Styela clava: one gene and its partner. The protein of the gene in region 1 interacts with the protein of each later gene in a biochemical or structural test. Links are inferred from orthologs where the notes say so. Each region holds a gene or a part of one and is shown on either strand. Other genes may lie near its edges.

What was found.
Region 2: the proteins of flap endonuclease 1-like (region 1) and checkpoint protein HUS1-like form a complex in vitro, tested with the Homo sapiens proteins (2 studies listed by BioGRID). The link is inferred for Styela clava from reciprocal best matches to the Homo sapiens genes FEN1 and HUS1.

Annotation. Positions count from the first base shown.
Region 1 is NC_135261.1:11,300,874-11,308,636, reverse strand, and holds flap endonuclease 1-like, read right to left. Parts: upstream 3,521-7,763; 5' UTR 3,461-3,520; coding exon 2,324-3,460; 3' UTR 1,082-2,323; downstream 1-1,081. Other genes in the region: uncharacterized protein LOC120330391, read right to left, coding at 1-1,047. UniProt on the Homo sapiens protein: Structure-specific nuclease with 5'-flap endonuclease and 5'-3' exonuclease activities involved in DNA replication and repair.
Region 2 is NC_135253.1:6,347,813-6,355,584, forward strand, and holds checkpoint protein HUS1-like, read right to left. Parts: upstream 3,224-7,772; 5' UTR 3,133-3,223; coding exon 3,081-3,132; intron 2,802-3,080; coding exon 2,674-2,801; intron 2,204-2,673; coding exon 2,027-2,203; intron 1,955-2,026; coding exon 1,817-1,954; intron 1,667-1,816; coding exon 1,551-1,666; intron 852-1,550; coding exon 682-851; intron 318-681; coding exon 232-317; 3' UTR 171-231; downstream 1-170. Other genes in the region: uncharacterized protein LOC120327064, read left to right, coding at 6,232-6,234. UniProt on the Homo sapiens protein: Component of the 9-1-1 cell-cycle checkpoint response complex that plays a major role in DNA repair. The 9-1-1 complex is recruited to DNA lesion upon damage by the RAD17-replication factor C (RFC) clamp loader complex.

The DNA of each region.
Region 1 (7,763 bases):
AGATGTGTCTTCAGAACTTGAAGAATCTTCCTTTTTAGCTACAGCTGAAACATTTTTAGCATTTTTTGTTTCAACGTCTTTTTCTGATTCAGAAGATGATGAGTCAGAACTTGATGAATCTTTAGCTTTTATTGTCTTTGACACACTCATCGAGTTTTTAGAAACCTTCTCCTCTTCTTCACTGTCGCTGTCTTCTTCCGATGAAGATTCTTCCTTTTTCTGGTTCACTTTTGCTGGAGAAGTTTTTTTCTTTACTAAAAGTTTCTTTTTCGGTTCATCCTCAGAATCAGAAGATTCATCATCAGAGTCTTCACTGGAATCTGATGATTCTTTCTTTTTCACAGGTTGCTTTTTCACTACTGCAACGCTTTTTGAAGTGTTCTCCTCATCTGATGAATCTTCAGATGAGCTGGAAGATGATTCTTGTTCCCTTGTTTTCTCTAATTTACTCTTCTTTGGATCTTTCTTTCCATTCAACTCTGAAACTGTAGTTTTTACTAGATTCCCAGATGCGGATTTCTTATTTTTTTCATCGCTACTTGAATCTTCCTCTGAGCTATCCTCTTCAGAGCTAGATTCTTTTTTCTTATTATTTACAGTCGCTTTTACTTCTTTCTTTTTATCACTGTCTGATTCAGAATCATCAGAGGATGTATCCTCACTGGATTCAGAAGAATCCTCTTTCTTGGGGATAATTTTAGCCTTTTTAGCTGGAACTTTCTTCTCTTCATCGGATGATGACATATCACTTTCAGAGCTAGATGGTGGATCGGCTTTCCTTGGTCTTTTTGTAGTTTTTCCATTTGTTGTACTTGTTCCATTCGGTGTTTTTTGGTCTACTTGAGTTTCCTTCCATAATTGATATGCCTCTTTCAAAGTTGGTTGATCCGACTCTGGTAATTTAGTGTCCGTGATTTTCCGAAACTTTTTTGCCAATTTGGTCATTTTACGATCTATAAAATATTTATAAATCAATCGTTCAACGTCGCATGATTGCGCGGCCATCTTGGCAACAACTGAGCTCTTTTCAGTAGGTATATTTTTCATTGGAAAATTTTATTCTGAATTTTATTAATAAGCTGAAAAAAAAAAACAATATGCTAAGATTGTGAACAAAGCTGAAGCTAACAAAATATGATTGAGATAACTTTTTCAGAAGTGGGCAATGAAAGCATGTCTAAAACAATGTGTACAAAAACCTTATAAAAAGAGTCAATGTAATGGCAGTGAGGCAATCAAAAAGTTTGGCAAAGCACATAATAGGTTGACAACGAGATAAGCAAATGTTATGCAAGTACAGTAGAATTGAATGCTATATAAATATCAATAATGAATGATCTTTTCGAAATTCCAGTCCAACTGATAAACATTCTGAACAAAAATCTAATTTTTATTAATCTTGAGCACCATCTAGCGGAGAGAATGTATAATATGTATATTAAGTCAGCATCTGGCAATATATTTGAAAACCTTATTTTAAAAAGACCACTGAAGAAGATTTGTTGATATTATTTTTTACAGCATTCAATACAAAAATAATAAGGGTTTAAACTTCGAAGTTTAAACTTTTCATTGATCTCGAGCCAGGATATGCATATTTATTTAAAATGGAATTCTTGACAATGTATCACAAATACTACACAAACAAAAATGGATATGCTAAATTGCTAATAACAAATTATATCATTCAATGATTGTTTTGAAAGAAGATAAATGTTCATCCTGGGGTAGAGAGAACAAAAGACACAAGGCCGCTTATTTACATAAAGGCTGTGATTTGAAAAAAATCTAACTTTACGAGGAACAAGGTATGAAAAATAGTACAAAAAGAACAGTCTATTCAATAATGTGTAACAAATGAGTTGAAATGAGATTAAAACTTCAATTACATGAAGTTATAAGCAAGTTCTTTATTCAATAATATACCACTGATTTTAAATCTCATATTTCCTTATGAATGCAGCCCTAAAATGAGCATATATTCAAATTAAATGTGGCATATACCGCAAAGTTATACACAAATTAGGTGCCGAAGAGATAAGAGGTGTAGATTATTTATTCACCTGGGTATCCTGGCTTCCACAGAAATATTTTTGGAGTCCATAAGGTGGGAAAAAAATAGCAAAATAGCCGTTATTACAAAATAGGAACAAGTCTACTAACCAACAAGGTTACAAGGTAACACAAGACATTGTTCCCATAAATGAACATGTTCACTCGCTCTGTTATCTAATCAGACTCAATAAAAGTATTGATATTGATTATTCTTGAGTATCTTATGCATACACAAAAATGTTTTTGATATTGATTATTTTCTAGAAGATCATTTTCCTCGTTTGAATTCCTTTTTCACTTTCTTTGCAGGTGTATTCTTGCCCTTGGGATCAGATTTTCTTTTCACAGCTGGTGATGCTGATACTTTGACTTTGAAAAAGTCATCCAGACGGCCTTGTGTACTTTGCTTCTTACTATTCATTAACTTCTTGATTCCATTTCGAATTCTATCTTCACTGAAACCTTTTTCTTTGCACATAAACTCGATGAGTTTTTCTTCATCTGGTTCTTTCCATTTAAGTTCAATGTCATCACATGGAGAAACATCAGGTTCAATAAACAATGATCTTGCTTGAGCAAATGCCCAATCTTCTGGTACTGTGTACTTTTTCTTGTCAATATTCCCCAAAATATCTTCAATTGTTTTATGTTGTTTGATGAGGTCATAGGCACGTTTAGGTCCAATACCTCTAATGGACCCGCAATAGTCGCAACCAAGTAAAATACACAAATCAATGAATTGTTCCTGTGTAATTTCCATTTCTTGAAGCACTTTTTCTAGAGTGAATTCCTGTATTGGCATTTTTCTTGCTTCGCTGAATGTCATATGTCGTAGAAGTCTATTGGATGCAAATGTAAGAGCATCCATATCTTCTGTGGCCGTTGCATAAACTTTTCCAGCTTTTACCAAAGTAGCACATTGTGCTTCTGCTTCAGTTGGTGCAGAGACGACAGGGACTCCCATAAAAGTAAGTAACTTTTTACAATCATCCATATGCTGTTTAGTGACTTTCACGAGTCGTCTTTGAAATTTGTCAACTTCTTCTTGCTCTCCTGCCTCTGTTGCTTCCGCAAGTTTCTTCTCAGCTTCCTCTCGTCTTTCCTTTCGCTTTTCGAGCTCACCAGACTTCATCTGAGGAGGTTTACCATCGAAGACGTAAACAGGCTTTATACCATTGTCTAACATTCGAATTGTACGATAAAACAATCCTGCAAGATGGCTAGTTACTTCTCCTTCATCATTTGTTAATTGATTTCCATCTTGTCTAATTGCAATCAGAAATTGATAAATGGCCATTGAGGCGTCAATCGCAACTTTTCGACCGAAGTAATTTTTAATGCTATTTTCTCTGACAGCAGATGGGGCTTTGTCGAATATCAACTTTGAGAGACCGAGAATTCCCATTATTCTGTTGTTATAAGACAACTGGGTAAGCTAAAATCTATAAAAAAAGACATTGAAAATGCTTTAAAATGGAAGCAGATTTTTTTCAGTAATTAAAATTGCAAGAGGTCCAAATGAAATGAGGTTCATGGAAAAGTCAGAAGTTTGATTTGACCATGCTGAGAGTTGAAAGCAGTGAATAACCATCGTCAGATAGTCTGCCCCCATTGCCCCAAATTTTTTAGATTAATTGAAAACAAGATTTGCACTAAAAAGTATGTTAGTTTTTCTCTAGTCAAATAGGCATTCAAACCAGAGGTTTAAACTAATCTTTTTTGAACCTGGCTAGTAAGCCCCAGTTCTGCAGTTGCTTATCTTTGTTAAATGTCACCCATGGCAAAGAAAATGCACTAGAAATGATTGAGTTTTAATTGTATTCAATTTTAAAATTATACTATTGAAACATGTTACAATTTAATTCCCCCCTCTCCCTGTCCAAACGAGGGTAGTTATGAAGATGCTAGGTCCCATATGTCGAATAAGCCATATACCTACCCTCCAAACGATGTCCATGGCACGAGCTAAAGCTGCCGTACCAAAAATCGACAACAAAATGGTCAATGTTATGGCTACTGTCACAAGCTAAGACAGTAAGATGTCGTTTAGTAGATTATATCATATTTATTTGTTGCATAAAACAGCTCCGCATGAAGCCTGATCACTCACATAGTGCAGGAGTTATTTTTTACCTAATTTACCCAATGTTGATGAAATCTATCTTGCAAGTACAGAAGTAGCAAGTAGGTATGTTTTTAAGTCATATGCCAGGTTACATTACATGGTGAAATTGCCTTGGCTGGTAGATATCTTTATTTGACATGTCTGCATGTTCAGATGTCAAAATGTTTATTTAAACCTCAATTTTTTAGCAACTTCTTGGAAGTTACTTCCCCAAATTTCGAGCAAATTTCAGTAAGTGTGTTGTCATTTTCAACCCACCATACTGCCATAAAATGCTGAAATGACAGAATGTGAAAATTGTCAAAAAAAATAATAATTTTGATGTATTTTGCTGTGATTGATAATATCACGACTGGCATATTAATAAATGTTACGACGCCGAATTTCTAAAATAAATGGGCAAATCGAATTTTGCCGTTTACTGGTCTACTAAGCTACAGGAGTGGCAGAGTGGTGACTCCACTACGGTCCATGGGCCGGCCCCATCAGGAAAAATTCAATTATCTTACCAAAATTTTCAATTTTCACAAAATTGTCAATATTCGAACCAAAAAAATATACTCCTGTAGTATGTGTACCAGGTTAGGGTTAGGACAAAAAAAATCCGATTTTTTACATTATAGCCTAGTTCTATCATGAGTTCGGGGACTGTCTGTGTTAGCCAAGTGAGTCGCGGCCCATAGCCTGATGGGCCGAGACCCAATTCTATGGGCCATGGCCCTGGCCCATGGGCCGCAGAGGAGTCACCACTTCCACTCCTACCAAGAGTCTGAAAGTCAGTGGTTCCATATCGGTACCGGTAACGTCTAACGATATCGGCACCTATCCATCCGAAGTGAATTGTAATTACTTATTAATCCACCAAGAGTCTGGAGGTCAGTGGTTACAGAACGTCTTCTGATATCGGCACCTATCTATTGGACGTGAATTCTACTCAATAAATCTGTGCAGGACAGGTCGTTTCAAACGTCTGCGAAATTGGAATAACCTCGTGCTTGAAGCTCATTTTCTGCATTTGGTAGAACTTGCACGTAACTATGAAAAACGCAGAGCGGCATCATGTGGAAAAGCTTTTGCGACCGTGGAACATTCGCGCGAACATGAGTACGTTGGCAAGAACGTAGAGACTGTAGAACGTGGCTGGTAGAATGAAGCAAGACGCAGTCAAATCGGAGCAGTGTCGACTGTAAAAACCTCGTTTCGATTCTGAGGTAAAACTTCTACAATACCATTTCGAGTAGATACGGTACCGGACATCAAAATTAGCTGTGAAACTTAGAAAAGTAGGATAGGATTTACATATTTATTCCGGGTGATAGAAATATAGTAAATTTTTTCGGGGTTATTTAGCCTTGTCGTGGGCTGTCAAGCGTGGAGTCGGTAACTAAGTAAGATTCTGATCCACTCGATCTTCATCAGAAGCGGTGGCGCAGGGGAAGCGTAGCAACATAGTCAAACATTGAGGACAAGTCTTCGAACCAGACCGGGTAGATTGAGTCACAGGCGGTCGAGGGAAGAAAAGGCACAACGACCAATCGAGAGCGGCAGCCAAGGAGAGCAAAAGGGGGAGGTAAATGGGAACTAGTGGCAGGCAGCCATACGAGACGCAAGCCGTGAAAGAAATGTAGCAAGTTGACGATGCCAGCAGCAGACCACTAAACCGAATTAAGTATAGAGTGAGTGAAAATCGCTCCAAAGATCGAGTGGGTAAAAATATACTCAGCGATATGCAAGTGGGAGTAAAAATACAAAATAATGGAAATCAGGGAAGATCGCTGTGACGCAGCAATCGAAATCAATCAATGACGATGAGCATTACATACAAATCAATACCTAACAACACCCTGTTCAAGGAAACGGGGCAAGGCGCTCGATCAGTCGGGTAAAAACGGAGCGATAACAGCAAGATTGGAAGAGTAAATTACAACATACATATATGAGCCCGCGCAATCACAAAACTAACTAAAAAAGAAAGTTATGAGAGAAATTAGATGAATAAAAAACAAAGGCTCGGCGGTGTGGCGCATCGTGCTAAGCGTTAGGAATACGCTCGCCACCGCATCTCTGATTACCCTTCGTGGGTTCGCAGATGATCATCTGCGAGAGGATTGCTGGACTCCTCGCCGCCGTATGGTGGTTCACGTAACCGCTGGTCGGTTATGGCTTCCTCCACCATCAAGTCCATGCTTCCGAAAACAGATAACTGGCTAACTAATCCCCATACCCGACCTGGACTGGAAACCGGACGAGAGACCGTGGTTCGTCATATAATTAAGCCGCCTCGTCGGCTTTCCTTTCCCCCGGGATAAATATGTAACTCCTATACTATCCTAAAGTTCCAAAAAAGAAACCTGGATATCAAAATTAGAAAAAAATTAAAAAAGCAGCCATCCGTCAGCAGACAATAAATAAATAAAGGCTGAGAGTGAAAATGGAAATCAGGGAGGCCCAAAGAAAAAAACTTGAGATGGGAAATGAAAGAAACTAGACTGGCTGAAGCAGCAAAGATTTAAAATATAGCTGCCGAGACAAAGGAGATTAAAAATAATTGAATCACCAAAAGCAGTGAAGGAAAAATATAATCAAGCAAGCAAGTTGTGAATTGAATGAAGCAGCGGTATACCTAACCGAAAGCAGTCCAGTGAGTGGAAAATAAATAAACAGCTAAACAGAGATAATAAAAGTCAGTAAGTACCAAGCAGTCTAGCTAGGGGAAATAAATAAGGAAAACAGCAACCAATCCGCAGTCAGTCAAATAAATAAAATGGAGACAAAGTGAAAATATAAATCAGCGAGAAAATTAGGCTTGGAATCAGCGAAAATGAAATTAGGAACAAGTGAAATTTAATAAAAATCAGCGAGACCCTCAAAGCAGTCGAGGAAAAAAAGATATTTAAGATAGCAAAGGTAAAGTGAAATCAGTAGCGGGAGAAGCAAATTAGGATGGAAATGGGAGATCAGCGATAGACCCCAGGCAAAAGGAGATAAAATAAAACAGCAAATTCATTCAGGCTGGCGACCCGCTCGCGCCCGCAAGCAGTTAAAGAAAAAAAATTTGAAGTATTATCATTCATTTATGATTTTCATAACAATTCCTTGTCCAACTGCTTCGACGACATAATAACTAAAATTACTTCCAATCGAAGAAGTAGTTCCAATTTGTTCATACCTTTTATCAGTACATCTGTGAGCCAGCATGCCCTATGGCCTATGTTATACTGGGCCCAAGCTGTGGAATTCTTTCCCCTTAAATTTCCCCGCTTCATAGGACTGTCTGACAGGTTTATCGTATTAGGCGCAGTCTTTTTTATAGCTAGACGGATTTCAACATCAGGACGGTTTATAAATTTTGTTTTTGTGGTAATAAAGATTGGCTTTTGCTCCGACAGAAACCCGAACTTAGTCAATGTGCGTCCCTGTCAAATCTAACTCGCTTGCAGTTGGCAGCAAAGAAACCGATGCCAACGTCTTTCACCGGGAGTAATTTTTGTCGCGGTATTTTGGAGTTCAGATGGACGTAATGATTTATTGCTCATTACATGCGAGCAATGCCAGCATTAATCACATTCTCTGGCATCTTAAT
Region 2 (7,772 bases), on another chromosome or scaffold:
ATAAGTACACCTTCGTTCCTCTGTCTTCACAAGGTTCCAAGTCATTTGAGTGTCTGGTCAGCCCAAACTTGCAACCATTGAATAAGAGCTTGGCATGACCTGTCTATGTTTTCTCTATGATAACTACATTTTATCCACCAATTTGGGCAACAGGAAAATTCACATACATACAAAGTTGAACAAAAAATATATATTAACAAGTTCAGAAAAACATTAACACATATTGAAGTATCATCTTGCTATGGCAGGTATGAAATATTGCAGAGATAATTCATCATGAAGAAGGAAAAATTGTACTATGGTCCCATCAACGATATCTGCAAAAAATGACATTTCATTTGTTATAGCACATGTCAAATTTGGGGAATTAAATAAATATTTAACAAAAACTGAAAACTGGCCATTGCTCAAAATAGACACAAAGGCCAAAACAAGTAGTATCAAATCTTTTACACTGCAAGTAGTCTAACCACCAAATCACTGAGATGTGACTACGGTGCACAGTTTCCAATTTTAATGAGGCCATCACACAGAAATTTTTGAAATAAATAAAAATAATAGCAACAAGCTCTCACCACCTGAAATTTTAAAACAATTCGTCGAGTAGTTGAAGAGAAAAGCAAATTTTTCACAACAACAACAAAAAGATACATAGGTCAATTCATGTCCAAAAACACTTACTGCAAATCACACGCTCTGGGTTTATAATCTGTCCTGCCAAAAACTGCAGAAATTTTTTGATATCTATTCTAGCACTGGCAAACTCATCAGGAGGCCAAGCAAGCCTGTGAGAGACACTTTGGACTTCTTCATCTTCCATGCGCACATCAGGGATATCCAGATCTTGAAAACTAAAAACATAAAAAATGTCTGCTTTTATTGTCAAAATATCGGAAACAGCACACAAATTCGAGCTCGCACTTTGTCATGTATACCACCTACTATACTAGGGCTGCAGAGTCTAGGGCAGACAGGTGTGGGCACGGTTTTTAGATTAGGGGCCAATTTGCCCACCTAGACTGGCGGGCCATGTAAGTATGAGGTAAAGAGTTTCATTTTATGAACAATGTTTACAGTGTTACAAAAGCAACAGTGGAAAACAATAAACCTCATGCCAAAACTAAATTTAACCGCAATCTCAACAAATACCTTGAGTTATATTTAACTAAAACATCAAAGTTTGGTCGTGGCAGCATCGGACGGGCCGGATTTCGCTCACGGGCCATACTTGTCTGGTCTAGGACAACCAAACTCTGACCTCACAGCACTGGACTATACTGTAGATATGTCCTGGTGTCATTTTTAGCCAATCAATATCAAACCAAATATCTTCAAACGATCTATTGATGTCTTTCGTGACAAAAATGAAATGCAAAAAATTTTCGAGTTATTGTAATAATATTATTCAATTATTGTAATAATAGTCCTTGAAATATTAATCTGATGACTACATGTCAGGACAAATGTATACAAGAAAGCAGAAAACCAGACACATGATTGGCAGTTTCGGACATGCAGATACTTTGAAATAATATGTTGAACAGCTTTACCTAGTTTTCACTGTAACAAGATCTGTGTCAACTCTCATCAACATCTCACCCTGCTGATTTGCAGCAAGAATCAAATATGAGCTGATGTTTTTCATTTTTTCCGCAATTGTCTTGACCTGATAACAATTATTTTTTTTCATACAAATTGAAGATGGCATAAAAATAATTTTAGGCCCTATAAAAACTATATATGTATAAATTAATATGCAAATTCAGGCAGGCATATTGATTAAACACACTGTTATTGGTATTTAAAACGATCTCACCATTTTCAATGGAGGCATAAATATTGTCACATGGTAGTTTGGCATATTTGGCTCTGCATAATCTCCCCACAGTCTTCTTGGTATTACTGTTACAGGAATATCATGTGTTACAGTCCGCGAGTCAGACGCTAGAGATGGCTGAAATGTTTTATTATATGGCAATTATCAATGAATAAAGCCCTTTATGTCTTAAATTCTATATATCTTTACCAATTCAACTTCTAGTGATAGACATGGACTTTGTTTCTTCGTCAGTTTGATTTTTAATGCTTTTGCAGCTTGTGCAGATTTCAGTGCTCGACTTAAATTTTCTGCTACAACCTCAAGATAGATTTCATTGCAATCCTTGTTTACTCCTTCCATCTGGTATTCATCAAAGAAGTTTTCCTAGAAAAATGCATATCGTTCAATACTCTGTATCCGGATAACTCAAGTTTGAAAAATTACTTTTTATATGAAAACAAAAATTAAGGCTTGGCGGTGTGGCGAATCGTGCTAAGCGTTAGGAATGCATTCGCACCTCTGATTACACTGCGTGTATCCGGGGATAGCTATGTGCGAAAGAATTGCTGAACTCCTCGCCGCCGTAGGGTGGTTCATGTGATCGGTTGCGGCTTCCTCCACCATCAAGTCCATGCTTCCGAAAATAAATAACTGGCTAACTAATCCCATACCCAACATGGATTGGTAACCGGACGAGAGGCCGATTAAAGAGTCTTTCCTCTACCCCGGGATAAATATGTAAATCCAAAAAGTAGAAGCTGATTGGGTGCCACTCTGACAATGATTGAGTTCCCTGAATGCTCAATTATCATTGAAATTGGCCAACACATTATATCTAATACGAAAACACATACCTGCTTGATTTCACACCACATGCTGACCCCTCCATTAGAAACCTGATCTGGTAGAATGAAATAAACTTTTTCAGAAGTGAAACGGAGGGTGCATTTCTTTAAAAGTTTGGATATTGTATTCACAACTCCTGAAATACAATGCATAAATTGAATAATTCTAACTAACACTTACTTACTCACGGTATGTTAACCATGTATGGATGTACTAGCTCTCACGGTTTTGATATTATATTATAGGGAAATATCCCTGAACCCGGTTTGAGTACGATACGGTACCGGTACCACACGCCTGACGGTACCGGTATCTAGACTAAAGTGTTAGTTTTATATAGACCTAGCCTACATAATTTGAAACTATGGGTAAATAGTTTACTTCTTTCCTTGAACAGCCTGGAAATAGTACTCACTTGTCAAGTGGTGCACACATCCGATATCAACAACTTTTGCTCGAAAACGCATCCTGTTTTAGTGACTTAAAAGCATAAGCGACTCGCAAATTCCACAATTGAACAAGCGCGGCAATGTGAATCGGGGGGATCCCCCATAAGAAAGTGTTAAGCTATTCTTAGTTGCCAGATTTTTATTGAGTTCATCCATGGAATTCTAACGATTGTTCTAATTGTCTTTGCATGAAATTCTTTATCGTGAGTTCTGTGTTGTAGGTGCAACGTAGTTCTATATAAAATGCCCGGTCATTTTTTCTTTCTTAGTTCTTCGGAAAATTGGAATGATGCGTTCCGCATCCTGAATATGTTCATAACTATAATTCGTATTGCTAAATTGTTGTTCGTGTTAGTGCAAAAATTTATATACGCATTTTTGTTAGTTTCTCCGCAGTATTTTTGCTTCTTGTGCTGATTTCCCCGAAAATAAGACCTACACTGAAAATGAGACCTAGCCTTAATTTTAAAAATGATTTTAATATAAGCCACCACCCCCTTCAAATAAGACCTGGTCAATAACGTGATTTTTTTTCGACCTACCGGTAGTTGATAGCAAGAAATTTCTCCTAAACTTTTTGAATGATTGGTAATCCATGTTTTGCAGTTATTTTGCAGTTAAAAACGTGTTATTTAAAAGTAATTTGATATCGGTTTCATATTTGAAAATCTTGTAATTCTCTACTTCATAATTTTGTTTTTGATAAATGAAAATATAAGACATCCCCCTAAAATAAGTCCTAGTGTTATTTTTCGAAAAAAATGAAATAAGACCCAGTCTTATTTTCGGGAAACACGGTAGTTATGCATATCTATCCATCTAGGGCAGTGGTTCTCAAATCTTAACCTTTTTACTTTTGTGGCCAATTTTCGCTGCCCAAAAATTCTTGTGACCCATACATTTTTGCAAGTGATAAACTAGAAAAAAAATCCAAATCTTTCTGTAAAAATGGACACTTTCACTTTAATAATTAGAAAGAAACTTATTACTCAGAAAACAATCATTGTTAGTGCAATCAAAATTATTGATAGTGACATAAATCAACTGTGGCATTTTTTAATAGTTCTGTGGTCCACCTAAAAATCTTTCCATGGCATGCTGAGTCGGTGACTTACTTGAAACAGAGAATTGTGATCTACAGCGGATAACCCATGTACTGGCATATATTTTCAAAATAAACTTAATTTGCTCCGAGTAGCCCCAAATATATTGAAACCAAAATAACAGCATTTTACAAATATATGGACAGGGTGGTGCAGTAACTAACCGCAGTATTTTTGTTGCAACAACACAAACTACTTCTTGTAATCCGTATTGAGTGATTCCATTCTCAAGCGCTTGGATTTATCTTGTTTCAATGACGTAATTACCATAAAGTTTCTTACTTACTTAGTAACCCATAACTACGTAATGGCGCAATAAAAAAAATTCTTTTCAGCTATAGGCTTTTGATAATTCATAGATACGATAGTAAAAGTGAATATATCGGAAAGAAGGAATTGAAAAAAATATATATCGCTAATCCCGCACCAAAGCAAATATTTGTAGATAAAATGTTATAGGTTCCCCATTACGATAGCTGACAAATTTTGATTGTATAAGCCTGATCCTTTAATTTAAATTACAGTTTTTTTTTTTTGAATCAATGGGTGATGAACTCCACCAATTACAAACTATGGGAACTGCTGATGGGAATATTTTTCGTTCCATAATCAGGAACTGCAATCGCTCCCGACTGGTTCCATTGAAGAAGTTTATGTAATTTCCCTTATATTGGCTTTGCCAATACGCTTGGGTGAAAAGGTTTTCAAAACGTTTGATACCAGGCATTTAAAAAAACATACTACCTTGTTTTCCCGAAAATAAAACCTAGCCTCAAATTTGAAAATGATTTTATAAGCCCTCCCCCTTAAAATAAGACATAGCGATAGTATCTTTTGACTTAGTCGATAGAAAGAAATCTCTCCCACGCGTTTTAAATGATTAATCTATGTATATGAGACGATAAGGTTCAATGAAGTTCTCAATCGATGAGACCTTTCATTGTCGACATGAAACTACAGGTGCAAAAATTCGACAAAAAATTCAATTAAATTAAATCTTCATTGGCATGCAAGACATTCCAGAGGATGGTGATATGGTTTATTTCAAATCAATCTATGTTTAGCAGTTTTTTTTTTTTTTAATAAAAACGCGTTATTTATAAGTAAAGGGATATCGGTTTCCATATTTGAAAATCTCGTTATTTTCTACTTTGTAATTTCGTTTTTAATAAATGAAATTGAAACACATCACCGAAAATGAGCCCTAGTGCTATTTTTTGGAAGATAATTGAAATACCACCCTGTCCTATATTCGGGGAAACACCGTATGCTTATTTGCTGTTGAACCGCGTAGCTGAAATTGGAGATGTTTCTGATATAATCCACCCCGAAAACAAAAAAACCAGAAATCGTTGAATGAAATAGATGTTTATCAGGGATACAAGAATTTAAGAATTGATGCACGACATTTCGCTGAATTGATACCTAGCGGTTATGAAAAAGTGATATCGCATCAAGTTATTTGTACATAACCTCAAGGTATCAATTCACCGAAATGTCAGGAGTTTTATTTTCATAAAGAGAGAAAGTAAGAAGAAAATAAAAATAGAAAGATACGATACAAGTCGAAACTCTTTTGTTTCGCAGCTAACTATCAGCTTATATTTTCGCAATATATATAGTTTCGACACTTGTGGCTTTAGTCGTCTGTGAATAAGTAGTTTCGGTAAAAACGAAGATTAACAATTTTTGCTTTTCATTTGTTGCTTCTGAAACTGAATGAGTTGAACTAAAATAGATCAACAAATTATAATATTCAACATTTACTTACAAAATGTTGAACGAATTATGCCTAACTCGAATGCGATCTTCTTCGAAACCGCTTTTGAGCAATGTGTCACGCGCACTAAGCGTAAACATGAAACGTCGACCATTACATCATCGCCTCTTCTGGGGAATTCTTCCATAAACGCCCCTTGTTGTAATTTCGAGTGAGAAACCCCCTTTTCTACAATATAAAAACCTCGATCGACTTCTCGCAAAATTTCAGTTCTACACAGTCACACAGTATAAAATGGTGAGTACTGTACTTTAAAAAATTAAATATTTATGATTTTGATATTGTCTCACCACTATCTTAGGCTAGGTTAGTTTATGGTAGGTTACGTTATTGCTGCATCCTCATCAATATTAAAAGGAAAAAAGTGGGGCAATATTAAAATCTGAAATATTCTAACTAACCTACGATAGACGACACAATCAGAAAATAAGATATAAAAGTGGTGATGCAATAACAGTGCGAGACCGCACTTTTATATTTTTTTAGTTTAAATGCCAACTCGCAATATGATCAGATATATTGAACTAATAGCTACAGGAAAGATATATTTCAGTAGGGACAAGTTTAATACCACTGGTGGTTCTGTAGTCTATCTTACCGCCCTGACTTGTAAGAAATTTTGCGAGTCAAATGAGGTCTATTTTGTTATAACGATTAGAATATATTAGTAAATCTCGTTCTCAAAATTTTAAGAAATGCCTGTAACCGCTATAGAAATCGGGTAGAAATGAAAAAAAAAAAATTATATCGAATTACATCCCAAATGCGACATGTTTAAAAGGTGTATATATTCGCATGGCATTTTTTTCCCGGACGAGAATATCCGAGGTAGATTGAGAATTAGTGAAAATGAGTTATTTATGTTTTTCTTATTGAAATCTATATCCCGCTTCTTGTTTTTGGCTTTGGCAATAATAGAATCTAATATCTATCTATATTCTATGATGACGATATTTTAATAGTAGGATTACCAAAAACGCAAAAGGCTTTTTAGATGACAATAGTATTTTTATTTCACTGAAATCAACAGCCTGCATACAGCAGATCCATTCAGAATCAAAACTAAGTTAGACTATGCCATTCTCAGGTTAGGAACTGTAAACTTAACGCTTATCAAATTCATGCAGTTCATGTAGTAAACAGGTGAAACTATACTTCGGCGACATAAAATTACTGGTAAAAATAAATTTGACGTTTGATGGGAAACACCGATATATTTTGTGTGTTGAATGTATTAAGTAAATATTAATACGTATTTGCGCAACTAGGCTACTCTTGCGCAAGTAAACGTCACAGAACAAGCGAAAGTGTTTCGTCTGTTTCTGTCTCTGACGAAATATCATACCGAGGTATTTCTTACACTCGACGTAACGCTAGACTAAACTATTATTAATAAAAACTGTGGTGTCTGTTTTACACGGACGGAAAAGGCTTTATTGCGACCTCAACCTACGCGTGTGGTCGCATCAAAGATACCTGTTGTTGGCGACATATTATAAGGTGCCAATCACTTTACTTCAGTATGTATCAGGGTGCTTCAATACGATAATCCTATTGTCTATATGTAAGGTGATAGGTAAAATAAACACCAGTGATATTTTTGTACCGTCTGGAAACTTACGAAAAATTTCTAGGTGTTATCTTTCTCGGCGGGCTTCGCATGACCGCGTGCTGTATCAATTGGGTACACTCAGCAATTTTGAAGGACAAATTATGGAAAGGGATTGTCGATCAATACACTGAAATTAGGCCTCTTATGTAAACGTAACAAGTTG